Linked DNA regions of Struthio camelus. The protein of the gene in region 2 purifies or fractionates together with the protein of the main gene of each other region. This does not show direct contact. Links are inferred from orthologs where the notes say so. Each region holds a gene or a part of one and is shown on either strand. Other genes may lie near its edges. The genes, in order: MRPL1, YBX1, nuclear cap-binding protein subunit 1 and HNRNPR.

Evidence for each region.
Region 1: the proteins of YBX1 (region 2) and MRPL1 purify together in Homo sapiens (affinity purification with mass spectrometry; 3 studies listed by BioGRID and IntAct, with this or other methods). This does not show direct contact. The link is inferred for Struthio camelus from reciprocal best matches to the Homo sapiens genes YBX1 and MRPL1.
Region 3: the proteins of YBX1 (region 2) and nuclear cap-binding protein subunit 1 purify together in Homo sapiens (co-immunoprecipitation; 3 studies listed by BioGRID and IntAct, with this or other methods). This does not show direct contact. The link is inferred for Struthio camelus from reciprocal best matches to the Homo sapiens genes YBX1 and NCBP1.
Region 4: the proteins of YBX1 (region 2) and HNRNPR purify together in Homo sapiens (co-immunoprecipitation; 5 studies listed by BioGRID and IntAct, with this or other methods). This does not show direct contact. The link is inferred for Struthio camelus from reciprocal best matches to the Homo sapiens genes YBX1 and HNRNPR.

What each region holds. Positions count from the first base shown.
Region 1 is NC_090945.1:6,149,153-6,156,629, forward strand, and holds the start of MRPL1 (large ribosomal subunit protein uL1m), read right to left. Parts: upstream 3,013-7,477; 5' UTR 2,950-3,012; coding exon 2,832-2,949; intron 2,633-2,831; coding exon 2,542-2,632; exon of another isoform or gene 2,495-2,541; intron 2,143-2,494; exon of another isoform or gene 2,002-2,142; intron 1,346-2,001; coding exon 1,102-1,345; intron 1-1,101.
Region 2 is NC_090962.1:12,631,869-12,638,861, forward strand, and holds the start of YBX1 (Y-box-binding protein 1), read right to left. Parts: upstream 3,015-6,993; 5' UTR 2,814-3,014; coding exon 2,657-2,813; intron 2,140-2,656; coding exon 2,076-2,139; intron 1-2,075. UniProt on the Homo sapiens protein: DNA- and RNA-binding protein involved in various processes, such as translational repression, RNA stabilization, mRNA splicing, DNA repair and transcription regulation.
Region 3 is NC_090981.1:12,383,270-12,390,245, reverse strand, and holds the start of nuclear cap-binding protein subunit 1, read right to left. Parts: upstream 3,005-6,976; 5' UTR 2,850-3,004; coding exon 2,816-2,849; intron 1,687-2,815; coding exon 1,601-1,686; intron 801-1,600; coding exon 700-800; intron 1-699. UniProt on the Homo sapiens protein: Component of the cap-binding complex (CBC), which binds cotranscriptionally to the 5'-cap of pre-mRNAs and is involved in various processes such as pre-mRNA splicing, translation regulation, nonsense-mediated mRNA decay, RNA-mediated gene silencing (RNAi) by microRNAs (miRNAs) and mRNA export.
Region 4 is NC_090964.1:2,706,120-2,713,420, forward strand, and holds the start of HNRNPR (heterogeneous nuclear ribonucleoprotein R), read right to left. Parts: upstream 3,013-7,301; 5' UTR 2,979-3,012; coding exon 2,904-2,978; intron 1-2,903. UniProt on the Homo sapiens protein: Component of ribonucleosomes, which are complexes of at least 20 other different heterogeneous nuclear ribonucleoproteins (hnRNP). hnRNP play an important role in processing of precursor mRNA in the nucleus.

The DNA.
Region 1 (7,477 bases), on a different chromosome or scaffold from region 2:
GATTCCTGACAGCCGCCAAAGAAACGGAGAGGGCAAGAGATGTCACCTAGCACAGAGAGATTCACCGTGCTTTCTCTGATTTCTTCACACCCATGTCTTCTGAAAAACTTTAGAGACATGAATCCAAGCCAGGTAACCAGACAGCAGTAAGGCACTCCCTAAACAGCCAATCTAAAAATTAGGGTCTTCCAGCTTAACTGGAATGCCATGCCAAGGTAACAACTCTGCTCTGAATTCGAAGCCAGTCTGTCACACAGACCAGGAGCGGAACAGCTGCTACTACAGTTGTGAAGGTAAGTAGAAGCATCTTCCAGGAATCACTGAGGATGCCAGTAACTCTTTCCTGCAGTCATGTAATTTGGTACATGCATGAACCCCAGAGGTTCCAGGAAACAGAGCATAAAATAAGGTAAAATAAGGTCCTTTCTATGTATTTCTTCCTTCTCTGTATATACTTCCCTTCCACTGACTCTTGATTTAAAAAAAAAAAAAAACAAACACACACCCACACCCACAAGTGGTGTACATTCAGCATTCCCAACCGTAGCAGCAAAACCATCACATGGGAATAAAAAACAGCATACTTCCAAAGGGCATGACTAGCAAAAAAGAACAAGGTGTGGACAGAGATGGGAAAAATGTGTTTGTCTTTACACTTCTCCCCATACCAGTTATTCCCACCAATACCAGTAAGCTTATAACTACAGAGCTATCAAACACAGTATGGGTGAAAAAGCATTGGAAACATTACAGAAAAGATGCATGTCATGTTATTAAAAATGAGCACGTTTACAAGTTAAGTTGAAAGCCCTAGACAGACATAAAGCTTATTTTGATCACTTCTGCTTGGACTTGAGTTGCAGTCACAGGACAGCCTGTCTTCAGATGTGTTCATGACTCCATCCTCACTCCATGAATCTGAGGGATGTTTATTGCATACACGTGGGTCAGGACTCAGTGTCACCTGCAAAAGTGCTTAATATTCTGACAAACAGGGAAGCTGCAGGAGACAGCTGAGAAGGCCAACATCAACGTTTACACTACACTTAAAACACACCCTTGCAGCGTTGACATGAAAATTTGTAACCACTTCCTATTTACCTTCTTCTGTAATGCCATATCCAGAGTTATGTTAACATACACATACTGTTTTGGGTAAGTGAAGTCCAACTCCTGAAATTTCTTTAGCATACCCACAGCCACTTCTACATCATAGGATGGCCGCTCATAACACCATGTTAAGTATACATCATCCACTGGCTTGCTCATCAGCGGCTGTCTGATAGTTCTCTTTTTCTTTTTTGTTTCTTCCTGCTTAGGCTTCTGTGAACTTTTCTTTGCAGTTCTGAGACAAAGCAAATAAAAAAAAAAAGACATATTAGCTCATCAACCAAAGCATTTGGCACATGTTCCAAAAGCAACAGATACCATCATGTGTCAGTTACTGCCTAATCATTAGTTACCATGATAGGCACTGCACACAGAACCATGAATAACATGCCTAAATTAAGCTTAATAATGCCTTCTTTTCAGATGTCTGAAACAGAAATCAAACATTCAAAAATGAAAAGCTGTGAAGAGAACTAAGCACCACAAACAGTATAGTCACATTTGTGCAGCACCCAATCGAGTCAATAAGCCCTTAATGTATCAAAGCAGAACCACTTTAAGACAACACACAGACCTTTACAGGTCTTGCCCCAACAGGGCTTGTACCAGGCATTGTGCCTGGGTTGCTTCCGAATCTCAGTAAACCCTACACACCTTCCCAGTAATCAGAAAAAGGCCCATCAGCTGTGGTGCAGGTTTTGCCCCCCCCCCCCCCCCAGTGCAACACAGCAGTCTTGCCTTCGCTCACAAGGGAGGTTCTTCCCTTTCCCCAGATCGTTCTATACATGCTTAATGAGTAGAAGCCCCAAATCTTTATTTTGCTACCTATTTTAAAACACTCGCAAACCAACAAAAACAAACAAACAAAAAGTTACAGGAATAGAAGAGTACTTCTATTTGAAGAGCTCTCTGTTCCAGTTTGAACTATAGCGAAGAGGTAACAACACTTCAGAACACTTCACGTGCAGTATGCTTCACTGTTCTGCACACAGAGTTAATTTTTCCTTCTTCTACTTATGCAGTAGTGTCATACTTAAAGAAACAGTAAGCAAAGCCGTGAAAAACAGATGGAAGGGAAAAGATGAATTGTTTGAAACCAATTTCCTAAGCTCCCTAGCTTTCATAGTGACACTATCCGTTTAGCTGTAATTCAGCCATACGTTCTCAAAAATACACTACCAATAAATGGAATAAGTCTTTCCCCAGAGCTGTTACACATGGTATTTCAAGAGCATCAGTAAAACCCTCTGAGGGGCCCCAGCTCGGCTGTTCTCCCCCCAGCCCGGCTCCCTGGTCGACAGCCGCCCGGAAGGAGCCCCTAACGCCGGCTCGGCCGTTACAGCAAGGCCCGAAGCACCACCGCGACCCACCGAGGCGCCCTTACACGGGGTTTTAGGGGCCCGCCCCGCTGTCGGACGGAGACGCACTCACTTGGCGGCAGCGTAGGGCCTGCCGAGCGGCGGGGCGGCCGGGAGGCACCGCTGGAGCCCGAGAGGAGGCGCCCCGCGACGCGGCGCCAGCACTGCGAGAAAACGCAAAAGGGAAAAAAAAAAAACAAACGCCTCAGACGGGCCCGGGGCCTCCCGCGGGCAAACGCCAACAGTCGCCCGCCGCCCCTCACAGCACCAGCCCCCACCCCCACCGACCAGGTGGCTGCCGCAGGCCCGAGCCTTACCCCCCCCCCCCCCCGTTACAACCGCGAGGCGGCCGAGCCCCATCACCTCGCCACAAGCAGCGCCCGGCCGCCCCCGCCGCCGCCATCTTGCCGGGCCGCCGCGGTGCAGCGCGCAAAGCGGTCCCCGGCGGCGGGCGGAAGCGCCGCCGCGGTGCCACCTCCATAGCCGTCCGGCGCAGCTGGCCCGAAGCCCTGGCCGCGAGGGCCGCGGTCGGCTTGGGCCGGCCCAGAGCGCTCGCGGGGCCGGGGGGGGGGGGCGGGGGCGGGGGCGGGACAGGGCCCTCCGCGCCTGCAGCGGGGCTGTGAGTGAGTGTGAGTGTGCGTGTGTGAGCGTGAGTGTGCGTGTGTGCGTGAGCGTGTGTGTATGAGAGTGTGTGTGTGAGTATGAGTGTGTGAGAGTGTGTGAGTGTGGTGACACAACTCTGTGTGTGCACGCGCGTGTGTGTGTGCATGTGTGCGTGTGAGAGAGTGTGTGTGTGTGTGTGGTGACACAACCCCATGTATGTGTGTGTGTGGTGACACAAACCCATATGTGTCTTGTGTGTGGTGACACAGCCCTGTTTTGGGGGGGGGGAGGGTGAAACAACTGTGTAGTGACACAACCGTGTACAAGTTCTGACAAAACCCCATGTGTGTGGTGACACAACCCCATATGTGTGCACGTGCAGACAAAACTGTGGTGACACAACTCTGTGTGTGTGTGTGTTGACTCAACCCCAGTGTGTGTGGTGACACAACCGTGTCTGTGTGTGTGTGTGGAGACACAACTGTGTGTGAAATGCTCCTGTGTGTGGTGACACAACCCTGTGGGGGGAGTGTGTGACACAACTGTGTGTGTGTGAAATGCTCCTCTTGTGTGTGGTGACACAACCGTGTATGTGGTGACACAACCGTGTCTGTGTGAAATGCCCCCGTGTTTGCGCTGACACAACCCTGTGTGTGTGTGTGGTGACACAGCCCTGTGCATGGGGGGGTGGTGACACAACTGTGTAGTGACACAACCGTGTACATGTGTTGACACAACCCTGAGTATGTGTAGTGACACAACCCCATATGTGTGTGTGTGTGTGCAGACACAACTATGTGGTGACACAACTGTGTGTGTGTGTGCGTGTTGACACAACCCCGTGTGTGTGTGTGTGTGTGTGTGTGTGTGTGTGTGTGTGTGAAACGCTCCTGTGTGTGTGGTGACACAACCCTCTGTGTGTGTGTGTGTGTGTGTGTGTGTGTGTGCAGACACAACTATGTGGTGACACAACTGTATATGTGTGTGCGTGTTGACACAACCCCGTGTGTGTGTGTGTGTGTGGTGACACAACCGTGTGTGTGTGTGAAACGCTCCTGTGTGTGTGGTGACACAACCCTCTGTGTGTGTGTGTGTGTGTGCAGACACAACTATGTGGTGACACAACTGTGTATGTGTGTGCGTGTTGACACAACCCCGTGTGTGTGTGTGTGTGTGTGTGGTGACACAACCGTGTGTGTGTGTGAAACGCTCCTGTGTGTGTGGTGACACAACCCTCTGTGTGTGTGTGTGTGTGTGTGTGTGTGCAGACACAACTATGTGGTGACACAACTGTGTATGTGTGTGCGTGTTGACACAACCCCGTGTGTGTGTGTGTGTGTGGTGACACAACCCTCTGTGTGTGTGTGTGCAGACACAACTATGTGGTGACACAACTGTGTATGTGTGTGCGTGTTGACACAACCCTGTGTGTGTGTGTGTGTGTGTGTGTGTGTGTGTGTGTGTGGTGACACAACCGTGTGTGTGTGTGAAACGCTCCTGTGTGTGTGGTGACACAACCCTCTGTGTGTGTGTGTGTGTGTGTGTGTGTGTGTGTGTGTGGTGACACAACCGTGTGTGTGTGTGAAACGCTCCTGTGTGTGTGGTGACACAACCCTCTGTGTGTGTGTGTGTGTGTGTGTGTGTGTGTGTGTGTGTGTGTGTGTGTGTGTGTGTGTGTGTGCAGACACAACTATGTGGTGACACAACTATGTGTGTGCATGTTGACACAACCCCGTGTGTGTGTGTGTGTGTGTGGTGACACAACCGTGTGTGTGTGAAACGCTCTTGTGTGTGTGGTGACACAACCCTCTGTGTGTGTGTGTGTGTGCAGACACAACTATGTGGTGACACAACTGTGTATGTGTGTGCGTGTTGACACAACCCTGTGTGTGTGTGTGTGTGTGTGTGTGTGGTGACACAACCGTGTGTGTGTGTGTGAAACGCTCCTGTGTGTGTGGTGACACAACCCTCTGTGTGTGTGTGTGTGTGTGCAGACACAACTATGTGGTGACACAACTGTGTATGTGTGTGCGTGCTGACACAACCCCGTGTGTGTGTGTGTGTGTGTGTGTGTGTGTGGTGACACAACCCTGTGTGTGTGTGTGTGTGTGTGTGTGTGCAGACACAACTATGTGGTGACACAACTATGTGTGTGCGTGTTGACACAACCCCGTGTGTGTGTGTGTGTGTGTGTGTGTGTGTGTGTGTGTGTGGTGACACAACCGTGTGTGTGTGTGTGTGAAACGCTCCTGTGTGTGTGGTGACACAACCCTCTGTGTGTGTGTGTGTGTGTGTGTGCGCGCGCAGACACAACTATGTGGTGACACAACTGTGTGCGCTGACACAACCCCCGGTGTGTGTGAGTGAGTGTGTGTGCGCGGCCGCCCGCCCCCGCCGTTGAGAGCGGAGCCGCCGGGCCGGGCCGGGCCGGGCCGGGCGCCCCCCGGGCCGGGCCGGCAGCGCGGAGGCGGCGGCCTCCTCCTGCCCCCCCCGCCCCGGGCGGCCCCGGCATCGCGCCGCCGCCCGCCTCCCGCCGCCCCCGCCCCCGCCCGTCCCCACCTCCCGCTCCTCCGCCCTCCGCGCCAGCCCAGCCGCGGCCCGAGCCCGCCGCCGCCGCCGCCGCCGCCGCTCCCGTCCCGGCCCGGCCCGGCGCCGCTCCCCGGCGGGCCGCCGCCTGCATGTCGTGGCTGCCCGCCGCCCCGCCGCCCTGCCGCCACCACCGCCGCCGCCGCCGGCCCCGCCGCCGCCCCGCCGCGCTGCATGCAGGTGAGCGAGGAAACCCCGCCGCCATGTCGGGCCCCGCCAGCCGCTGCCAGCACCGGGGCCAGCACCCGCCGCCGTGTGCGCGGCGGCCGCGCCGCCTCCTCTGCGCCCGGACTGTGCGGGGTAGGGGGGAGAGCCTCCCCCCCCCAACCCCCAAACAGCGGCCCCCCGGGGGGCGCCCCAAAATGGGGGGCGAGGGTGGGGGTGGGGGGAGGGAGGGAGGGAGGGAGGGAGGGAGGAAGGGGCCGCGGCCCCCCCCCCCCCAGCCCGCGCCCGAAATGGCGGCGCCCGAGCCCGGCGCCACCGCCGCCTCCCATCGCGCTATAGGTCCCTTGGTCTATAGGTTACAGACGTCTCACTCGGCGTCGGCCCGCGGGGAGGGAGAGGCTTTTGGGCCGGCAGCGTGCCCGACCCCCCCCCTTCCCTCCCCGCCCCCCCCGCCGAGTCGAGGCTCGTTTTGTGCCCCCCCCCCCGAGATGCTCTTATCATGGCTTTTTTATTTTCTTTACCCCCCCCCCCCGCCTCCCTTAACCCACCTCTTAGTAGGGCTAAAGACGTCTCGCCTTCCGTAAAAGCGAGCTCGGGCGCTAGCGCTTGTAAATAACGCCTACGAACGCAAAGCGTGTTTTGGTTTTTGTTTTGTTTTGTTTTGTTTTTCAGCAGATTATTTTATTTCATTTTATTTTTAACTCGCGTACCCTTGGTAAACACGGCAGAGGCCTCGGCGGCTTTCTGGCTGTTGAACAGCCGCACCGAATTTTATCTGACCCGCTTAAAACCTCCGGGCGAGCAGCCTTTTATCTGCCGGTTTTTGAAACTTTGAGCAGACGGAAGTGTTCGCTTGCGGAGTTAGGACTTCTCGTCGCCTGGCCCGCTGAGGAGGGTTTTACGCGGAACGGAGGGCGGCCTCATCTAAGCAGAGGGTTTTCTTAAGATGGGATTTCTGCCTGCGTTAAATTTATACCTGCATCATCCTCGGTCTGCAATACTCTGTTTTCAGCTTAGCACAGATTCGTTCCCCGGCAGCCTAAAACTAACCTGGAGGGGAAAACACCTGATACTGAAATCGCTCACAGTTACACTTTTGGTGTGCGTAGACATGGTTGGTAGTGAAAACGATGGCAACATGTCTGTTCTTAGCCTCTGCCGCTCCTTTGGGATGTTTTTGCCCCGGTACTTACAAAAAAAAAAAGAGAAAGTACATTATTTCTAATAACAAAGTCTTTGCTGTGACAAAAGTCAGGGAATTCCTAGAAGCTGTATGAGAGTCTGGAGTGCCAAAAGCTTTGACAAAGACGGGGTATGGCCTTGACAAGTATAGCGCTGTCGCTGGTTTTGTTTCCGTATTGTCCCTATCAAAATACGAAGCGATGGTGAAGCTCGTATTAACAACTGTTGATCTTCCAAAACATAGCCTATTTTAGGTGCAGTCACGTGCTAGCGGCGCTTCAGAAGAGCGAAAGGCACGCTTCACATCTGAGGTTTACTTTGTGCTGCGTACGAGCACAGAGGCTCGATCCGACTTCCTGTACGTCGCGTTTTTTGTTTCCACAGCACTACGCTTCAGACTGCTTGATCCCTTATTCAGGGCGAGCAGGGTAGCGGGGACTCTCGTACTGTAAGCAGCTGCCTTCAGCTTTCCT
Region 2 (6,993 bases):
AACAGGAAATATTTGAAGCTAATATGCACCCCTATCCAAGCTGAACTTATCTGCAAGCAGACCCAGTTGAGGCAAAGACAAGCAAGATCAGGAGCTCTTGCAATGTCTTCCTTAAAGCAAGCCAGAGAGATTCCTGAGCTGTGGAAATGTCCTCAAGTTCAATTCTCAGACTGCAGCTCTAATCTCTCGATAACATGAGATCATGCTGGGTTTCTCATTAAAATGGCAACCTCAGGGATCAAACAGCTGCCAAATTAATATGAGTGGGAAAACTATTCAGATGTCTTAACTACCTGCTGTTACTTCCTTGCTTGACTCACATAACTGAGCATTTCCACCACTGAGTGGAACAGGAAAAAAGTCTTCCCTAGAGGTAGAGTTTGTGCCCTTTGACTTTATAGCCAGTTACAAACGTCACAGATGCTAAAGCTCGTAATACTGACAACTGTTCAATACTTAACATTCAAACTACACATGAAGAATGCATTTAACTTAAACTGGGCAGACTCAGAGTCAAGTTTTTAAAGTTACAGACACAAAACCAAGTAAGGAGCTTGGTAGATACTTAAGACTGGGTCACAAAGTAACACAGAGAGCTAAAAGGGCAATACTTAAAGCAAATCTAAATAAAAAACCCAATAAAATCCCCAATACCTTTGCTTGCATCCCCGAGTAAAGATTTCCAAGTCTTTTGCCAATTTCTGAAACATTTGTTTTGAGGGCTCACAGCTCTAATTACATCTTTCAACTTGTTTCAGTCTTAACTTGCTAGAGCTTACATGCAACGCTTATTCTCATTCGAGAGCCCTCTGTTTAGAAAGGCAAAAACAACCTATAGGAGGAACTACAGGTATCTTGTGGCTTACCCCATTAATTAAGTTTCTAATAGATGCTTCGCTCCAAAGGAAGGAAGTGGTATTAGGTGTTTAAGGACAATAGTTTTTAATATTATGGCCTCCAAAAAATAAACCGCACTGAAGCACTCCAGACTGGTAGAAGAACATTACATTTTTCCAGAACTGATTTGTAGAGCAATTCTAGCACACCTCTGCCAAGTCATCACTAGACAGCTCACTGCTATGTTAAGAGTTCAGGTAAACACCTCAAACTAAGCACTGAAATTCTCAAGTCAATCGCTGAATCTTTTAGGCATCTTTTTTTTTTTTTTTGAGAATTTCTTACATGCTCTAGTTTCATGATATAAGGAATGAGTTTTACACATTTCCCCAGGCATTCAGAGTTCCCTCAAGAGAGCAACTACCTAGTGTCTCAAACAATTGCTTGCATTGATGTTACTGAACTCTATACAGAAGCTAAAGAAATATTTTGTGCACATCAGTTGATTTTTATACTCTAATAGAAAAAAGGAAAAAAAAACACACATACACTTAATATAAGAGGTAGCACTACGAAAACAAATCCACTACATCCCTTTTGGTAAGAGCCTCGCTGAAGTGCTTTTAAAAAAAAAAAAAAGAACAAAACAAACACACAGTAAGGGTGAATGATCATGCAACAGAGGTAGGACACACCTTATCAGTTGCTCCTGGAAAGTGTCACCAAGCAGGCACTAGAAGTGATAAAGGTGTTTATCTGCAGCCCCTGGTGTTATACGAGCCTAGTGCCCCAGCGTAAAACAACCAGATATGAACCACGCGCAGCACGCACGTGTTACTCAGAAGTACACTTGATCTTGGGTCCAACGTCTGCTTGGCCCAGAGGGCAAGTCAAAGCAACGCTCATTGAAGAAAAAAATAGCACTAGTAATAAAAACAAAAAAAAAGCCCTCTCTCCACACACTCCAGCAAGAAACCCTGCTGCCCTCCTAGGACTTCTCAGGGGTGCTGGTGGGGGCAAGGGGAGCTCTTGTTAGAGTTCCCCCCCCCGCCCCGCCGCGCTAAACACCTAGGAAGGAACGCCAGAACAAACTGGGCGCGTGCTCGGGGCGGGGAGCGGGGACAGGAGAGCCGTTTCCCAGAGCAAGAACTCCCTCAGAGGGGAACAAAACTCCAAGCAAGCTGCCGAGCCCGGCGGCCTCAAGGAGAACCCCCCCTCCCCACCAAAACCCGCCTCACCTGTTGATGAAGCCGTAACCGTTCCTTACGTTGAACCATTTCACTGTTCCCAAAACCTTCGTTGCTGCGAGAAGAGGCAGAGAGAAAGAGCCGTAAGCTGCGGGTAGGCCCGGCGCGGCGGCCTCGCTTGGTTTCCCCCCCCCGCCCTTCACTACCCTCATCATCACCTCCCTCCCGCCCCCCCCCCCATCCGCTCGGCCCGCTGGAGCCGAACCGAGAGGAGCGGAGCGGGCAGGCCCGGCCCGGCCCGGCGCTGCCGGCGGCACGTGGCGGGGCGGGTCTCACACAAAGGGCCCCGCGTGGCGGACATTTTGAGTCGCTCCGCGCCCGCTCCGCCCCTCCCCTCCCGCCCCCACCCGCCGCCGCCGCCGCCACGCGGGGCCCGGCGGCGCGCGCGGGAGGGGAGGGGGGGGGGGCGCCCAACGGCCGCGCGCGAGGCGCCCAACGGCCGCGCCCGCGCGCGCGCGCGCAGGGGCTCGCGCCGCCCTGAGGGGGGAGAAGGTGGGGGAGGGGAAGGGGGGGGCCGCGCCGCGCCGCCCAGGCCCTCCCTCCCCACCGCCGCCGCGGACCCCTCCCCTCACCGATGACCTTCTTGTCCCCGCCGGCGGGAGGCGCCGCCGAGGCCAGGCCGCTGGCCCCGTTCCCGGTGCCGCCGTTAGGTTTGGAGTCGGCGGGGGCGGCGGGGGCCGCCGCGGGGACGGGGGCGGCGGGCGGCTGGGTCTCGGCCTCGCTGCTCATGGCGGCGGCTGTTCGGTGCGGACGGTGGTGGTGACTAGCTGTTTGCGCCGCCTCCCGCGGTGTGATGGTGACTGAGGCCGGCCGTTGGGGGGGGGGGGGGGCTGCTCCCTGCTCCGGGCTCGCTGAGCTCCGCTCTCCGCTCCCGATACCGATCGAACTGACCACAATGGCGGCCCGCACCGGCTAGCCACTCCGCACGCCCCGCCCCCCAGCGCGGCCATTCGCCGAGCGGCCTGCCCGTTCGGCAGCGCGCGAGCTCATTGGCCTTCTCCCCTCCACCCCGCGGCCGGCGCTAAAGCTCCTATTGGGGGAAGCACCTGCCCTTTACCAAAGCCGCAAGCCCATTGGCTGCTCTGGCTCGGAGCTGCCAGGCTCCTTTTTCTTGCCAGCCCCCTGGCGGGACCCGCCCCCGCAAGCGGATTGGTCAGCTCCGCCGTTGCTCCCGCCCCTCTCCCCCGGCCAGGCCGGGGAAGTGCCCGAGACCACGTGGCCGCGGGCGCCTCCCGCCGCCGCCGCCGCCGCCGCCGCCGCCGCCGCCGCGCCCCCTGCCCGGACCGGCACCGGGACCCGGACCCGGACCCCGTCCGCTGTCCCCGGTGCCGGTCCCGGTCGGTGCCCGTCGCCCCCGGTCCCAGACCCGGGATGTCACCGGACCGTGCTCCAAAGGACGCACCGGTGGCATTTCGCCTCGCTTGAAAAATGTGGGACAAAGTGAGCGGACGTGCTGCCCCCGCCTGCCGCCCTGTTACAAGAGCGAGATGCAATCCCAGCTTTTCCCCCGAGGCAGGCAGCTCCCATTAAAAAAATAATCATCGTCGTCGTCGTCTCAAGAAACAAGCCTGCGAGTGTTAATTAAAAGTAGAAAATAATGGATCTGGAGACACGACAAAGCTTTTTTCAATATATAATTATATGCAGTTAAAGCGTTATAATCCAACCTCCTGAGAAATAGCGTGCTCCCAGGGACCGCCGCGCTGCCGGATAACGAACTGCGAAAGCGCCGCGGTCGGCGTTCGAAGCGACGCCGTGGACCCGGTCTCGAGCCCCGCGGCGGGAAGGCGGCGGGCAGCGGTCGGCAGCTCTTCGCCGGCTCCCGCGGCGAGGAGGGGGGAAACGGGCCCGGCGTCGCCCGCCGAAAGGCGGGAGCTGCCCGACGCACCCTTCAAACCTGGTCGTGCATCAGCTCGCCCCCACCAAAGTCTCCTCGCCGGGCAGGGACTGCGGAAAGCGTCGGCGTGGGGTGTTTTATCTTCACGGAGCCTTGCTCAAATGACCATGTTTTGTCTCCATCCCTAATCTTTGCCTTCCAGCGGCTCAGAGCGATCCCAGAAAGCACCCGTTGGACTCTCCAAAAGGAAGGTGCAGGGAAAACGAGCCTCCTCGTGCGCCGAGCATCCCCCCGGCACCAACCCTTCAGCATCGGCTTTCCCCATCCCAGGGCCAAAAGGACGAGCCGGGGGCCGCGGCCGCCGACGCTGCGCCACAGCCGCCTGCGGGGCTCGGGTAAGGTAGCGCTTAGCGATGCCGATCTCCCGCGGAGACGTTACCCTGAAGGGAGGATTAATTCTCTGCTTGGCCACGTGGCAGCTTCGCCCTCGCTGAGCCCCACAGCCTTCGCCTCTCGAGGATTCAGCGAAGAGCCTGCTCGACCTGAAACGTCCGACGGGCGGACCTGGAGCCCGCGACTGCTCCCGCTGGTTCAGGCTGCCCTGCATGGCCGGCAATCTTCCATAGACAACGTGAGCGAGGCAGGGAGGGCACCTCAGTGCATACGTACCACAAACCTGGGTAATTAGAGGCCGGTCTGACGGCAATTCCCAGGCAAAATAAAGGGACGGCTGATACAGGCCTTGATTAACGGACGATTTGCAGAGAGCACTATAATTGCCGCCAGCCGATGGGGGTTTACGGACATAGATCTCATCAGACCAACTTGGTATCTTCTCCGTGAGATCTCCAGCTCTGCCAAGGCAGGGAAGAGCGTTAAGAGCACTTCTGCAGGGCATTTGCCTCAGTGTCACGACCCTGATTAAGAAACTAGAAAGATATCAAAGCAGGATGATGCTTAGTAATTCAATTAAAAAACATGTCTTAAAACGTAATGGCAAATGGGAGTCCACCAGGCAAGAGACCCTACAAGGACTCTTATTTAGTTAGTTATTTATCAGTTTTATCAAAGATTGGGAAGATGTTTTCAAATCCCGATGATAAAGCCTGCAAGGATGCAAGGGCCTTGCACCTACAGAAGAAAACGTGGCCTTCCCAATGGCTAGTGACTTTACTCCAGGACACGGCAGTCTTTGGGGGGGCAACACTGCAGGACCGAGAAGTTAATCTGATCCTCAGATGAGTAAAGAACCGGACTGCTCTGTGGACTGCTCTGTCCACAGTTCAAGGAAGATGCTGGAGCTCAGAGAGAGAAGAGTGATCACAAGATGGAAACATCTGCTCTACAGCGAGAGATTCCAGGATTTGCTTAGCATGACATGGCTGAAGGGCAACTTTGTCACTGGGAATTAAACCTGAAACGGCGGTATTTGAGAGCGCTTTCAACCTGCAGATAAGGAACAGCAAGATCCATAGGCTGGAAAGCTGAAGCTCGACACGTTGAGTCACAGACAGACATGCATTGTAAACAGGGGATATAATTAACCACTGGAACAACTTCCAAAGAGGTTGCGATGGATTTGCCACTGCTGGATATTAATTTGGGGAAGTCCTGTGACCAGCGCTATGCGGGAAGTGAGACTAGCTGATCACAGCGATATAAATACATCAGGCTGTGAAAGCACTGCTGAGCCTGGACCCAGAAATAGGCTGGTTTCCCTGGTGAAAAAGCACGGTGAATTTGAGTATCCACAGCCAGAACTGCGACCCTCCGCACTGCAGCTGGCGAAAAGAGCTCCCTGAGCAGCCTGGAGCTAAGCTCGTGCCTCAACCCCATGGGGAAGGGGTGTTTGAACACGTTCCCTGAGCAGGAACAACGGGTAAGTTTATGTCTTTTCAGCCACCACTACCTCATAGCTATTATCTGGGCCCAGTCTTCTCCTCCGTGTGGGGAATTTCAAACCCTCAACTCATAGGATAGAGCCCTAAGCCGTTTGTTTGGGCCTGGGGAGGAAAGGGATGGCACGCTTTATGTTTCCTTCATCCCCTGATGTACCACAGGAAGGAGAAGGTGAGATGACTCGGGCTGGGGAGGAGGGAGGGCAAACGTCCTCTGCAGCCAAGCAATCCCAGGAATTGGGACATGGAAATCCTGACAGCCAGAGCCTGCTCCAAAGACTTTAAATAGCCAGGAGATAAAAAGAGCACGCCAAAGCTTGCCTGCAGGATCTGTCCTCCGGTACATTACTGCCTGCTATCTAATACACCCAAGCAACGCACAAGCCAAGTGTGCAGACTGCTCCTTCCCGCACAATACACCTTAGGCAAAGGCCATAAAGCAGACTGCTGCCCAAGGAGTGACGAGGCAAATCAGGATGGGCTGGAGCCGTTGCACGTGACAAAAGAGACTTTGTCCAAGCTCCTTTATATTTAATCCGCCAGATGAGAAAACTCACCTCGAAGCTCATCCCGCAGCAGGGAGATGAGCTTGCAACCCTGGTCTCCGAGAGGAGGAAGGCAGTTTTCCCACCAGCCTGCAGCCCTGCCACCAAGGGGAACAAGGAGCCCAGATTTCTCCGCCTGCTGCATAATCACTCCCCAGATCCCAGCCCAAAGACCTGTTGTGCTCCCCGCTAAAAGACATGCCCTAAAACATATCATCCCCACAGCCTAGCACTGAGATATGCTGGGGAGGTTTTACAAATGCTTGTTTACAACATAACTCACCTCTGGCTTTCTATACCGCTACAGAGCCCAGCAAGCTCGTGCTGCTGAAGCCTTTGCGCCATACCTATTTCTCGTGCTTCGAGAAGGCTGAATGCAAAAGGTCTCTAAGATTGCTGGGATACCACGAACCTCTCTGCCAGGCAGCCTTATTTACCTGGTGGGAAAAGAGCTGGTGTAGCACAGCTCTGCCATGCTCCTTTCACCCCTTCAGACCCCTTTCTTCCCATTTCGTGAACGCCCAGCAGCAACGCCCCTCAATGCCACACACGAGAAACGTCCCCTACTGAACTGAACAGAGATAACGCACGTGGCTAAAGAAGCTATAAGCCCTGCTAGCCAGAAGAGT
Region 3 (6,976 bases), on a different chromosome or scaffold from region 2:
TGGGAAACATTTACTGTTTGATTTATGTTTATGAACAGTGCTACAAAATGGATTTGAAAGATTCCATGCAGCTATAACACAAGCTGGCACCGCATCCTCCCCCAGCGTGGTATACTATTGTGGACCCCACACAACCCTCTCCTGGGACACGTGACCAGTGACCCAACACACAAAGAAGTTTTGTTTCAGTGCTTTGCTAGGGAGAAGAAGGAGTGCTGCTAGCCAAGGAAGGAGCCTACTTCTGGCTACTTTGTCTCTCCACTACTAGATGGTGGGCTCATGGAGACAGGAGCACCTCAGCCCCAGAAAAGGGGAATAGGCAAAGTAGGAATACAGAGATAAGAACTGGCACTCAATCGATTTGGTATTTTTTTAGTGACTGTTGCATTCAGAAACAAGATACTACCCAGCATATTCCCCATGGCAGTCAGAAAGCAGCTCTGGGGTCTACTCTATCTGCTTATGACCTTGTGCACACATTTCAAGTGAGAGTACTGTACAGAGGCATTTTCCTTGATTTATATCTACTACTGACTAAGCTTCTTCTCAAATTTCTCTTGCCTGGAGTAAGACAAACCCTAAGCTATAACAGTGTTCAAGAACTAACAGCTCTTCACAGCATTTAAAGTACTTAAAATACTTAAACTTATCTATTTAATATAGATAACAGAGCATCTCACAAATCTCCTGCATACGTACACAGTACAAAGAATTCTCAAAATCTTGCTTTTATAGTTTGGTAGATCAGCTTCCAAGACACCAGCTAGGCCCTCCAAGTTGCTCTCCAGAGAGGAAGTACTCTAAGAAAGAAAACAGTGTTTCCGCATCAATCAGGCATATCAACTATCCCCTCAGTAACAACTGGAAGACAAGCAAATCAGATGAAACAAAATATTACTTCACATTTTCTTCTTGTTGGAAGTAATTATTCAAATCCATTAGGAATGCACAATCTCTCTCATTTGCTAGAAATAAGAAGTAGAAATGACTAAGAACAGTCTCAATTGTGAGTTCTCCACAGCAAGGAGCTCTAGTGCTTTCCTGGGAAGCAAGGGTTAACATAGCCTCAGAGATCTCTCAATAACTGAATTAAACATTATATTAATGACATCAGGGGAAGTGAAAGAACTTCACAGCTTGTATGTGGCTAAATTAATGTTAAGACCCATCATTTTTGTCCTCATCCTTTTTTCTCTCCACTTGTTACTAACACCAAACCCAGCCAGGTTCCAAGATCAGTTGTAACACGGCTAGACTTTTTTCTTTTTTTTTTTGTACGCATCTCATTGCTTTCAAATTTTCCAAGGAGTAGGGGGAAATTAATGATAATGTTCACAGATTTTGAATGATACCTCTTTATTAGTTATACTTCACCAATGTATCAAAGGTTTAACATTTAAGAATTTCCTTTTTAAAAATCCAGTTTTGCAAAGGCCAACAATTTTCCAGTTAAAAAGTTTCCAACTGATCTCAGATAAGGATTTTCTCTTTTTGGACCACTAGTGAACTACTAACACATAGCAGCATATAAAACAAAGAAAACAATCTATTATGTTTAAGGACCCTAAGCCACAAAACAACATGGAAATAGTACTGATACCTTTTCTCCCACCCTGCATATTAAAGATTCAAGTCTCTCCTCGATTTCAGATGGCTCAGATGTTCTCCTCCTTTTGTGAGGTTGCCCTGTTTCAATACATTAAATATGTTATTAGCTGCCTGCTTTTTAAAAAAGAAAAAAGTTCTCTATATACTTTTGCCATTCCAGCAACATACTATTAAAAACAAACAAACAAAAAACCCCAAAACTGACAAAGCATTCAAGATTGACCCAATAAACATGAAAAACAGAAGTATACCCATATTACTGATGACCTAGTCCATGAAGCATAAACAGTTAACATTGTAGCTATCTCAAATTTTATTTAGGGTTAATTCTGCATTTCTGCTACAGTGTGAGACAGTATATGTGGGATAAGCTAAACCCACATTAGAGTTACCAGCTATTTCATATTTCCTTAGTGCTTTTTCACATGCTTTCAGCATATGAAAAAATAAAATATTTTAAGAATCCTTGCTTATATTATTAGGGTTTTTTTGAAAGCTTAGAAAAAGACTGCACATCAAAACAATTAAGAAAAAAGAGTGTAGTTAAAAAACACATAGAGTGTTTTTTAGAGTGTTTATCTTTGCAATTAAAAGTTGAAAAAGCTGGTCATGAAACTGTCCCATTCTCCACTAATGCAGAATTACGTTATTAAAAGAAACATCCGTTTCAGTTTCTGAAGCCGTCTCTAGTCCTCCAATATGAATGTTTTCTGAACGTTTTTCATGAAAGCCTTTACAAGATACAAGAACATGTCCTTCTGGCGATCCGTACGCAGCGCAGCGTGCTCCGATCAGTTTGCTACTCCCTATATTTAGGGCGGACCCAAGAGACTGCTTAGGGACAGTCTGTAGCCCTAGTTACACAAGCCAGGTCCTTACACCAGAGCGCCCCACAGTGGCGCCAGGTTGTCCCCAGCCAAACAGCTAGGAAAGGCGGCCCAGGAACGATCCTGCACCCCATGGAGCGCCTCACTACAGCGTCCCGTAGGGCGACGAGCAGGACCAAGTCCTGGCAGAGGGACAGAGTGAATCCCTACCACCCCGAGTCTAAGGCAAGGCAGCGCCGCGGGGGGGGGAAGGAGGAGGAGGAGGAGGGGAAAAGGCACTTCAGCTGAGATCTGTTCCTCCCCCAGCCCCAAGGACGACGCGGCCCCAAGCACAGGGCATGCGGAGTCCAGACCCTGGTACTCCATCCATCCACGCTTACCATCACTCTCGTCACTGTGCCGCCGCCGTGACATATCAGCACTGCCACTGCACAAAATCTGCAGAGAAGCAGGAATACCGTACCCCACAGCAGGAGGCAAGAAGGAAGAGCACTATATAGAGACTATGCAACAAGGATCAGAGTATTTCCCTACTTCCTGTTTGCCTCAGTCTTCTTCCGGGGTAAAAGAGCAGGAGGAAAAGCTACTGTCTTCTCTTCTCCTGACTTCCGCAACTCTATGGGAGTGGGCGCTGCTCTACCTGCTTCTCCATAGTACTAGGAACTCGGATGATTTCTAAAATGGGGAAAAGAATAGACACAAAGTTAGTTAATTATCGATGAAGTGAAATTCACTTATTCCATCTGGCTCGCACCTAGCCTCTCTTGAAGGCTAAGACGGCCCACCATGCGTGTGAATTGCGCACTGTGGGCCCCACTCTTGGGCTGTCTTGCTGACGCCTGGTGGCATGTATATTACCTGAGCCGCTGGATCGAGAATGCTGCTGGGTCCCTCCCACGAAGCGTTTCCAGGGCGATGGAAAAGTGATGGATGCAGGGATTGGGGAGATGTGTGATTCTCCCTGCTGAGTGAGATGAGATCTCAGACGTGGTACTTTGGGGTGCAGTGCTAACACTGCACTAAGCTTAAGCTCCTTCCCCCTCCCCCCCGCTGGAGACTGGCCCCACGCATTGGTGAAAGCAGGCCAACAAGATCCAGGTACAGCCGTATGCATCCCTGCTGTCCCTCTACAATCAAATGGCTGGAGAGACCACGTGCCCCTTTCTTCAGCCCCCATGTCATCCCCCAGGGGCATGGGAGAGCCCTGCAAGTACAGGGAGGGGTACCTCCTTGCTGCCTCCAGGAGGGGGCACCTGAGAGGTGGTGCCACGTCGGGCAGCCGAGGACTGTTGGCCACTGGAGAGGCTGTGTGAGGCCGGAGTTGTGATTCAAATGTAACGCTTAGTTGTCCCGAGGATGGGGAACAGGCACTGCTGACCTGTCATCAACTTGTGTTCCTGCACACCTTGATTATGCAACACATCAGAGCATTGCTTCCCTCCTGCCACCCTAAAGTAAATGGGGTACATTTCTCCAAGGCTGCTGCCTGGGATTAGCTGATTCTAAGGGAATGTGTGCCTCAGACTGGCTGGGATTGCACTGGGAAGTGTGCATTTCTGTGAGCTAAGCAGTCAGGGTCCAGTAGTGGTTTTGTATTGCCTCATTGCTGAGAGTCCCAGGAAACAACAGGTACAAACAGGAATGTGACGCTCCCAGGAAAACACTTTGAGAGAAAGAAGGTGTTATTCCTGAGGGGCTTGGTCTTGTCCTCAGTATGGAACGGTAGTGTCAGCCCTGCCTAACCTGGCCCTGCTTGCACCCCTGTTCCCAACCTTGGGATCCCTGATAGGTAAACTTGAAAGCATCAACAGAAACAGCATCTCTGATGGGCAACTATTTATTTACCCAAACAAGCTTATTTAAGTACCACATGGGTTATCAGGATTTCTCTTTTATCTAGCTTTGGGCCATCAAAACAGTTAATTGACAGGATCCAGGAAGCAACATAAATCCTAAGAGATTATATTTGTGATATGTTTCAGGCATTTTCCCTGTTTGTGGCTGACACTTCCTTTGCTCTGATAACTAAGTGCCCTGCATCCATCTTTGGAGATAGAGTATGGTGGAAGTGCTGCAAACATTTAAAGACCTCTCTAGTACTCACAGACATGTTGCTACACAGCATTCCACTGACACTGGGCAACAAATAAGTTTAATTTTAAGATGGTTGACGAAGCTAGTACATCATTGAGTAACCCAGCTTCTGCAGACGTGGCAAATATGCTAAGTGGGCACACTCATGGCAGTCCCAAGGTTTCTGGTAGGCTCCCAGACACAAGCCACATTAGCTTTGATGATCTAACAAGGTAAGAAAATCCCTTGACAATTTGAAAAACTTACTTGCTGTAAGCAGGCTTGCATCTGGCTCACATCTCACATCACCTTGCACAAGTTTAACTTTGTATTTTTTAAAATGAAATTTAGACAAGTGAAACTTAGAGGTATAGAAAAGACCTTAGCTTTAGATCTTCCTTTACTCAGCTGGTTTAGATCCCCTCTAAGATTCATCCAGTTTCCTTGAACTCATTCCTACTCTTGAGCACCTTTCACAACTGCTTACACCTGCACAAAGCATTACTGCTGTGCTGATACAGAAGCATTTGCCTCCACTTTATACTGGTATAATCAATGCCAAAGATGGGGGTTTTACAGGATCAAATCCCCAGAACTGTATTTTTCCTGCAGTGTCAAAGCAGACCTGTGCTAGTGTTGCTCTACACCTCATGTCCATAAACAGACACTCAGCAAGGAAAGCCAGCAACAGGAGGGAGTAGGAATAGTAGGTCATGCTCTACATAGATCGCTTTTCTCCTCCCTTGCAGGTATGTTAAGGGCTCCTCAGGTATGAATAAGTAGATGGAGAAGAATCTTCCTACACATGAGAGTCCAGCTTGTACTCCTCAGAATGCAACCAAAATCTATCCCTTTGAACAATTGGTAGCTTATAATTTAGATAATTCAAGTAATTGGATTCTAAGGATACAAATTTTTCAAATGTAGCTTTTAATGACACACTAATCACAGAATCACAGAGTAGTTGAGGTTGGAAGAGACCTCCAGAGAGCATCTGGTCCAACCCCCCTGCTCAAGCAGAGTCAGCAAGGATGGAGACTCCACAACTTCTCTGGGCAGCCTATTCCAGTGTTCAATCACCCTCACAGTAAAAAAAGGGTTTTCTTATGTTCAGATGGAACTTCCTGTGTTTCAGTTTGTGCCCATTGCCTCTTGTCCTGTCACTGGGCACCACGGAGAAGAGTCTGGCCCTGTCCCCTTGACATCCTCCCATCAGATATTTATACACATTGATAAGATCCTTCCTGAGCCTAATCTCTAGGCTAAACAATCCCAGCTCCCTCAGCCTCTCCTCATATGAGAGATGCTCCAGTCCCTTAATTTTTGTGGCCCTTTGCTGGACTCTCTCCAGTAAACCCATGTCTTTCTTGTACTGGGGAGCCCAGAATTGGACACAGGACTCCAGGTGTGGCCTCACCAGGGCTGAGAAGAGGGGAAGAATCACATCTCTCAACCAGCTGGCAACACTCTGCCTCATGCACCCCAGGATCCAATTGGCCTTCTTGGCCACAAGGGCACATTGCTGGCTCATGGTCAACTTGTGGTCCACCAGGACTCCCAGGTCCCTCCCTGCAGAGCTGCTTTCCAGCAGGTCAGCCCCCAGCCTGTACTGGTGCATGGGGTTATTCCTCCCCAGGTGCAGGACCCTGCACTTGCCTTTGTGGAACTTCATGAGGTTCCTCTCTGCCCAGCTCTCCAGCCTGTCCAGGTCCCTCTGAAGGGCAGCACAGTCTTCTGGTGTGTTAGCCTCTCCCCCCAGTTTAGTATCATCAGCAAACTTGCTGAGGGTGCACTCTGTCCCATCATTCAGGTCATTAATGAAGATGTAGAAGAAGTATTGACCCCTGGAGGACACCACTAGGGACTGGCCTCCAGCTGGATGCTCTGCTGATCACTACCTTCTGAGCCCATTTTCAATCTACCTCACTGTCCACTTCTCTAGCCCATACTTCATCAGCTTGTCTGTAAGGATGTTATGGGAGACCATGTCAAAAGCCTTACTAAAGTCAAGATAAACAACATCCACTGCTCTCCCCTCATCCACCAAGCCAGTCATCTCATCATAGAAGGATATCAGGTTGGTTAAGCATGATTTCCCTTTTGTGAATCCATGCTGACTACTCCCGATCACCTTCTTGTCCTTCATGTGCCTGGAAACGGTTTCCAGGATTAGTTGCTCCATCACCTATCCAGGGATCGAGGTGAGGCTGACCAGCCTGTAGTTCCCTGGATCCTCCTTCTTGGCTTCTTGAAGATAGGTTTGTTATTTGCTTACTTCTAGTCCTCAGGCCCCCTCCCCCCATAGCTATGACCTTTAAACGATAATTGAGTGGCTTCACAATGACATTGGCCAGCTCTTTCAACACTCTCAGGTGCTTCCCATCAGGGCCCATGGACTTGCGTCTATCCAGTTTGTTTAAGTGGTCCCTAATCTGATCCTCCTCCACCAAGAGAAAGTCTTCCTTTCT
Region 4 (7,301 bases), on a different chromosome or scaffold from region 2:
CCTCCCCCATGCTTAAACAACTCAAATGGTTCAAATAGTATTTTTCCACCAAGAAAAAATGAATTAATATACACCTGACCATGATAGCATTTGGCATATTAAAACAGAAACTTGATCTCAGCCCTTAACAGATAATCATTGATGAAACCGCCATAGTGTTATTATCTCCTATTTTTTATACCATCCCTCTAGAGGCTGCCACCCTCAGACTAGCTGAGCATACTTCCATCCAATTAATTATAAATTCAGTCTAGTTAATTCAAAACATGTTCAGTAACAGCTTAAATGAGCAGAAATGGAAACTTCTGGCAGAAGGACAATAATATTTTAAACTACTATAACCAACTTTGCAGTGATTATCCAACAATACGGTTCTCAGCCTTCTACTGTTTAACTTTGATTTTGCAAAGGAACTAAACTGTACTTGTTTAGCAAAGGTGGACAGGAAGCATAAGTCATACATAAAAACTCTGCACCAAAGCCATTTCAAGTTGCTTATGTTACTAATCCTCCTATTGAATACATAGCCTGCAGGGTCTAAAGAGAAAAAACAATAATTAGACTACATTAAAAATAGAATTGGGGGAGGGGGGGGATGTTAGACTGAGTCTGATTTTTTTTTTTTAAATGAACCTCAAGAAAACAAATTTAGTCCCCAGAAAAATATCATCAGTCTTGCACTTAAGGTTTCTGTCAAAACACGAAGAAATTTATGAGCAAGGGGAAGAAAGGATCTTAGATTAGGAAACTCAACTGGGAGTTTATTAAAACCTCACTTGTTCACAAAAGTGACTAGCATATCCCTTAACATTTCTTTGTGCGAGGATTATAGCCATTTCGTTTCAACTATAGCTTATTCAATCACGGAAAGCGTATTTTAGTAGTTTAATTATATCATACTAATGAACATTTTAGTATGTCATATAAGAAGACTTGTTTTGAAGTTATCACATCTTTAGAAGTAATGGCCTTTACACATTAGCAAAGTTTTCTTACCAGCATCTCATTGACAGACTACCTTTACAACGATGAGTAGTTAGCACCCTCACCCCTCCAGCACAGTTTTGTCTTTCCCATTCCATAATGCCATGGAATGAAAAAAAAAAAAAAAAAAAAAACCTGAGAACCTCCATCATTATCCTAACCAAAAGACTAGCACAGTCCCCACAGAAACTACGCTTCATTACCTATGCAAGTATAAGCAGTCCCTCCATCAAGAGATGACTCTACCACAACAGGTTAGCAATGTGCACAAAAGCCATCAGTGCCATTAAAATACAGCACTGACTGATTCAGTACCTACCACGTTTTGCTAACCTGAGCTATAAAAATCTACGTACCCTAATTTCTACCTGGAGCTGGCCTTTTATGGCTCACCTGATTGTCTGGGTTGTACAGAACAACGTCCATAACATTCTAGTTCAAAACAACACTTCAGCAAAAGTGAGCATTATTCTGATGAACTTGTCCTTAGAAAGTTTTGCAGATCTTTGTCTATGAGAGCAGGGAGCATTGCTTCTTTCGACAAAACTATTGAGTATTAGTGGGAGGCTCAAATATTATCCCAATAGGGATCACATCTAGATAAAAAACTGAGAGGTAAGGATATTAAACACTCATGGAAAAATATAGTTTCTAAGATAGAAAAATGTCATCTAGCCTCTGCTAGTTTGCAAACATTACAGTTTACATAGTGAAATTACACTGTAAAACTCTGGTTAGATGGTCTTTACTTTTAGAAGACACATAAAATAATTCAGTGCTATACAAAGTATAATCTTAAACAAAAAAAAAAAAACCCAACAACTTCATATACATTAACTCCCTTTGCAGCCCAAAAATATCATGCTGGTAGGATCCTTCAGTGAGATACTGGGGGGTGGGCGGAATGCAAGCAACTTTCCTCAAAGAAAAGCTTAGTCCAGTACAGCTCAAGTATATGATTAGCCACGTCCAAGAATTAATAGGTAACAAGGTCGCTAAGATCCAGTAACTAGAACCACGTGAAAAAAAAAAAAAAAAAAAGGAGGGGGATTTAAAAAAGGCTTCGTTTAAGGTTTGGTAAAGATCTTTTGGTAAAGAACACTTAAGAAAACCAATGTCCTTGCAACAATGCTTCCTTCAGAGCATTTAGCAAGTGTTACTGTCTCAAACAAAATACTAAGTGCCAACCTGAGAGCTGCGAGAAGATGCAGTGCAGTTCTCCCTCCCTACAGCCAGCAGTATCAAAATGCGCTCTACAAGATTTCAGAGAGTTATTCATAGCGCTGGCAACAGCGATGCGTTTTCTGTCAAAGTCTTTTCCAATTCCCCACACGCATAATGCGGCACAGATCGGACAGTAACCACGACAGCTGCCTATCAGGGCGTCTGAGCTGTTAAAATACTGTTTTTCCACACTGCCCAAGAGGGGATCGAGAAAGGGCTTAACTCCCAGCGCAGAGGGACACACGGCAGCCATCGTTAGCAGTACCGCAAGAACAGCTCCCGCCACGCTTCCTCCCCAGCCACATGCAAGGCTAATCCGCAAGGCCGGGCGGAGCCAGGGCGGCCTCCGGCCGCGCTGCCCTCCCCATGCAGGGCCCGCGCCGGGCCGCCGGGCCGTCCTCCCCCCCCCGAGGCCATAGGGCCCGCCCCCGGCCGCTCCCCAGCACCCGCTCCCGCGCGCGGTCCACCCGCCCGCTCCGCCGGGGCCTGCGCAGCAGACACCGTGCCCGGGCACCAGCGGCGCCGCAGTCCCGCTTCGCCTACGCGGCGCGGGCGCCCCAGGCCCGCCTCCGTCAACGCCGGGCCTAGGCGGAGCCCGCGCCTGCCACCCCGCCGCAGGGCCTGCCCGCGAGCCCGCTCCTCCTCCCCCGACCGAGGCGGCCCCCCGACACCATCGGCACCCCCCGGAGACTAACCGGAGCGGGGCCTGCGCGGCGCAGCTCGGGCCCAAGCAGCGACGGCAAATGGCGCGCGCTCCTCCTTCTCCTCATGGACGGCGACGCGACCCCGGCAACACGCGGGGTTTCCCGGAACTGTTTCCAGGGACCGCTGCTTCACCCACTCAGGGACTCGCACTTCAGACAGGCAGCCGGCAGCGCCTATGAGAAGCGGGAGGCGGGTGGCGCAGCTATTCCCAGATGCCAATGAGAGGGAGGCTCTATAGCCAATCGCGCCGCGCTTTCAGCCCGGCGCGCCGGCAGGGACCGAGCTGGGGGGATTTAAAGGGGCAGCGCCGCCCGTAGCCTTGCGAACAAAGGGAGCGGGACGGGTGCGCGGGGGGCGTCCCGCCCTGGGCCCTCGCGCGCCTGCGGCCGGGCCCCGCCCCCGGCGGCCGGGCGTCGCCTGCGCGCCAGGGCCTGCGGCTGGGTGCTGCCCGAGGTGGCTCATCCCGGGTGGTGACTGGGGCCCTGGGGCAGACAGCCACCGGCTGAAGGCGTTGCCCGTCGGGGTTAATCCTAGCCCTGAGGCCGGTGGGTGTCCCGGGGGCCGCGTGTGAGGAATTCACAGCGCGGCCCGGGCCCTGCCTGCGGGAGGGATTGCTGCCTCAGCCCAACGGCTCTGATTGAGGCCTGCCTCATGCATGAGGGACCAGGGCCCTAGTATTGCCTCTCCTGGAGGCTGCTTCTTGTTAAATTATGCTTTCTGTGCAAATGCTGCTTTTCTGTCTTGAAGAATTTGCTGTCCGTATCCTGCTGCTCCAGTAGTTTTTCCTTGGCCATGTAGGTCTATCCAGTAAAGTCCTGCTGGCTAGCTAAGATAGCATGAGGTTTAGCACAGCACTATATGTCAGTTGTAGGGTTTTTTTTTTGTTGCCGGGTGAAGCCACTGGCCATGCTAGGAAAGACTGGTAAGCTTTACTGGAGATGAGAGCCAGCCTGCATTGATATTACTGGTAAGTTAATCTGAGGCCGTTAGTAGATTTGGCTTCCAGGTCCGGAGTAAAGAGGGAAAGGTGTGTAGCAGCAAGAATCCTGGTTCAGAGCCTTCCCTGAAAGGATATCTGTGTGAGGTATGCTGGTTTCTAGATAATTCATCTGTGATTATATGTAACTTGCCTGCTTACCTGGTCTGTCTGCTTGATCAGTCTATTTGATGGGTGTAGACCTGATGCATTAAATACACAGTTCTGTGGGAAGTCAGCTTCTTGGCTGTGATGTTGTTTTTCCTAGGCCACAAAGTGTTGTGCTGACTTCCATTTCCTCAGCCTACAGTTGCATGACATGAGAATAACTGTTTTGTGCTTTGAGGTCAAGGTGAGTCCCAGAATATTGTGTGAAAGTGAATCCAGAGCATCTATGTACATAGATGGCCAGGTGAACCATCACTCTTGAGTCTGGTAAGTAAAGAAAAACAGTAGCCTCTCATGCTTTCAGAAGGTTCTTCCAACAGTTTAATGACAAAGTGACACTCTTCAGAAGACTGCATGTATCTGTGCAATGTATTAAGTGTGCATATTTCCATCGCCCTTAAATGGAACATAGATAAAAACTGTACATGTTACCTGCTGTAAATGAAAGAAGCTTTTTTTGAGCCAGAAGCCAGAAGTGAACTCATACAGATATCAGAGGTAAGCAGTCTATCTTGTTGAACCTGTCTCATGGCAGACATGCTTGTTCTCTTGTGAAACCTGTACTGGCTCTATGAATTCTATCTCCAAATTTGGCAACAGTGACAGCTTTTCTTTGTTGAAGGTAGGGTCTAGTGTGGCATAAAGATGCAAGGGAACATTATTCATTGCTTCATCCATACAAGTTCACTGCAGCAGTTGATCCGACTGTTTGGGAGTCAAGAATAATAGGTTTAAGGAGTTCTCCCAGCACAAAATTTGAGAGAAATTGAGGGATGTTTACATGCACATCTGTCACTTCAGTGGTGCTTAATAAACATTCTGCAAAGCTCTTCAAAATATCTTATGATGTCGCATCCAGGAGTGAAATACAGAGTACTAACATACCTACTGTTAGCTGACAACTGAACATGATGAGACTAGAGCAAAATTTATATTGAGGTAGGTACACTTTTAGTAAAGTAATTTCAGTTGCTAAGCACTACCAAATCTTGGTAGATTCAGGAAGAATCAGGAAGATTTCTAAGGTAGTCATTGTCAGAAATGCCTTTAAGGCTTTTAATTTGGCACTTTTTCATCATTTCTGCATGGGTGTTTTCCAAGGGTAATTAATTGTATGCAGGTAGTTGTGAGCATTAGCAGGCTATGGGCTTTGGGGTGGGGTAGGGGTTTTTGGGTAGTTCTCATTTCATAATCAGAATTCATATTGATATTGTGTTAAGCCTGCCATGTCTTTGCCAGAACAAGACTTTAGCATGCTATTTTCCTGCTAGGAGATTATTAATTTCAGCCATAAATTGGTGTTCATAGGATAGAATTTGTAATTAAACATGGTTTGACAGCATGAACAGCAAAAACAGCATGAAAATCATCTACGATGTGATGCATGCTGCTGTAATGGATCTGACCTAATTCTGACATGAAGCCACAACTGCTGGTATGTTTGTGGTTATCAACCTATGATGAATCATACCAGTCTCTTCCCCCAGTTGAAGATGGTCCTTCTCTCCATTTTCACCCATGGAGGTTCTTTCCTTGGTGGTTTCTTTTTTTTTTTTTTTTTTGGGGGGGGGGGGTCTTCTGGATGCTTGACTGTTAGAGGCTTCTGGACATGAGAAGAGAGCATCTGCTGTTGTATTGCCATCTAGTATAGAAGTACTAGAGCTTCATGCTGGCTGTAGATATCTCTAGTCCCTTGGCTTTTGGACTGGGTTCTGGTACATCACTCCAGTATATCTATTACCCCCGCTAGCATCTGCATGTGCTTGGGCAGCTGTTCAGCTTTTTGGTCTCGTGCTCCATACAATAGCCTCGACCAAAAAGATCTAAACACTGAACATCTCTAGACAGGAACAAGCTATGGCCTGCAGGTAGTAGAGTTCAGTGCCAGCCAGCAAGCTGGGCCTGAAAGGAGGTCCTAGATGGTCTGGAACAAAGAGTAATTTCAAAGAGATATTGCTAGAAATTCCTGGAATTATGCTATTTACAGCTCTGTGTGGTTGAAAACAAACAGATGCACGCAAGACCTGAACTATTCCTGGGCCAAAGCAAGGCAGAACAAAGACCACCTTAGAACCAAGAAGGTGGTTAATCTCTGCTGCAGGGAGCTGGCTTGCATCAATCTGGAAAGACAGGCAACAAAACTTGCTGCCTCACGGACATTCTACAGTCCTTATTTATCAATGAGGAAGCCCCCAACAAGTTCCACTCCTTAAAGCAGGGAAATGCTCAGGAAAATGGCTGCCTAGGGATGCCATGCTGCTAGTATTACCCTGTTAATTTCTGCACATAAGTTTATTTTGCCTTGCACAGAGCCAGTGTCTTTGATTTTAGGGAAATAATACATTTTAAATATAAGCATTTGCTCTGTCATACCTCCTTCCCCTGTCTGTTCTGGAGTGGGGAGGGCTAGAGTGACAAAACAGCCCAAAGAAACCAGAATGGGTAACCTGCGGACCTTGCACTAAAACAGCTTGTTGAAGACCTTGGATACATCAAAGGGAGGCAATTTTATTTACTAGAATTCATTCCTTCATGGTAATACAAGTCAATGCAAGCAGATTGAGCAGGTCCTATCAATTTAGAGGCAAGGTTTCAGACTCTCTCTCTCTCTCTCTCTCTCTCTCGTTGCTTTTGCCCCTGCCCCACAGCCAAGGAGTCTTAGCAATTTCCATCAGATTGTGCAGGATGCAGCCCAAATTAAGCATCTTGGGAAGAAGCTTGTGCATAGCATCATCTTCACAGTCTTAACACATCTCAAATATCAGCTCCAAGTGCTGGCGCTCAGCACCCGAGTTGCCTCAAAATAGTTGACAATTAGGGAGTAATGGTTTCTAAAAGACAACTGCCCCCTGTCCTCCACTGTCACACTGGATTCCAGAACTCCTGTTCTGAACTCCACTAACTTGGAAGACAGGAATTTCTCCAGGCCTGGTTCTATATCCTCCTTGCAATCCTCCCCTATCAAATGATAAATGTTTAGTCCCCTACTTGTGCTTTTATTCACTGCTACCAGGAAATCACCCCTTAACAGGGCAGCAGAGACCTATAACCATCTTAGAGATAGTTGATTCATACAGCCCCAGTGCCAATACAAACAGGAGGCGATGTTTTAGTCTGCAACAAACTACAAGCACTGAAGCAGCCACGGTCCATAGCTGGTATCTCCTTTTCTGCTGTTGTGGAAACAGTTCAACCCTAGGTTTCCAAGGAGCAGAGTCTCTCACACGTATAGCAGCAAAATTAT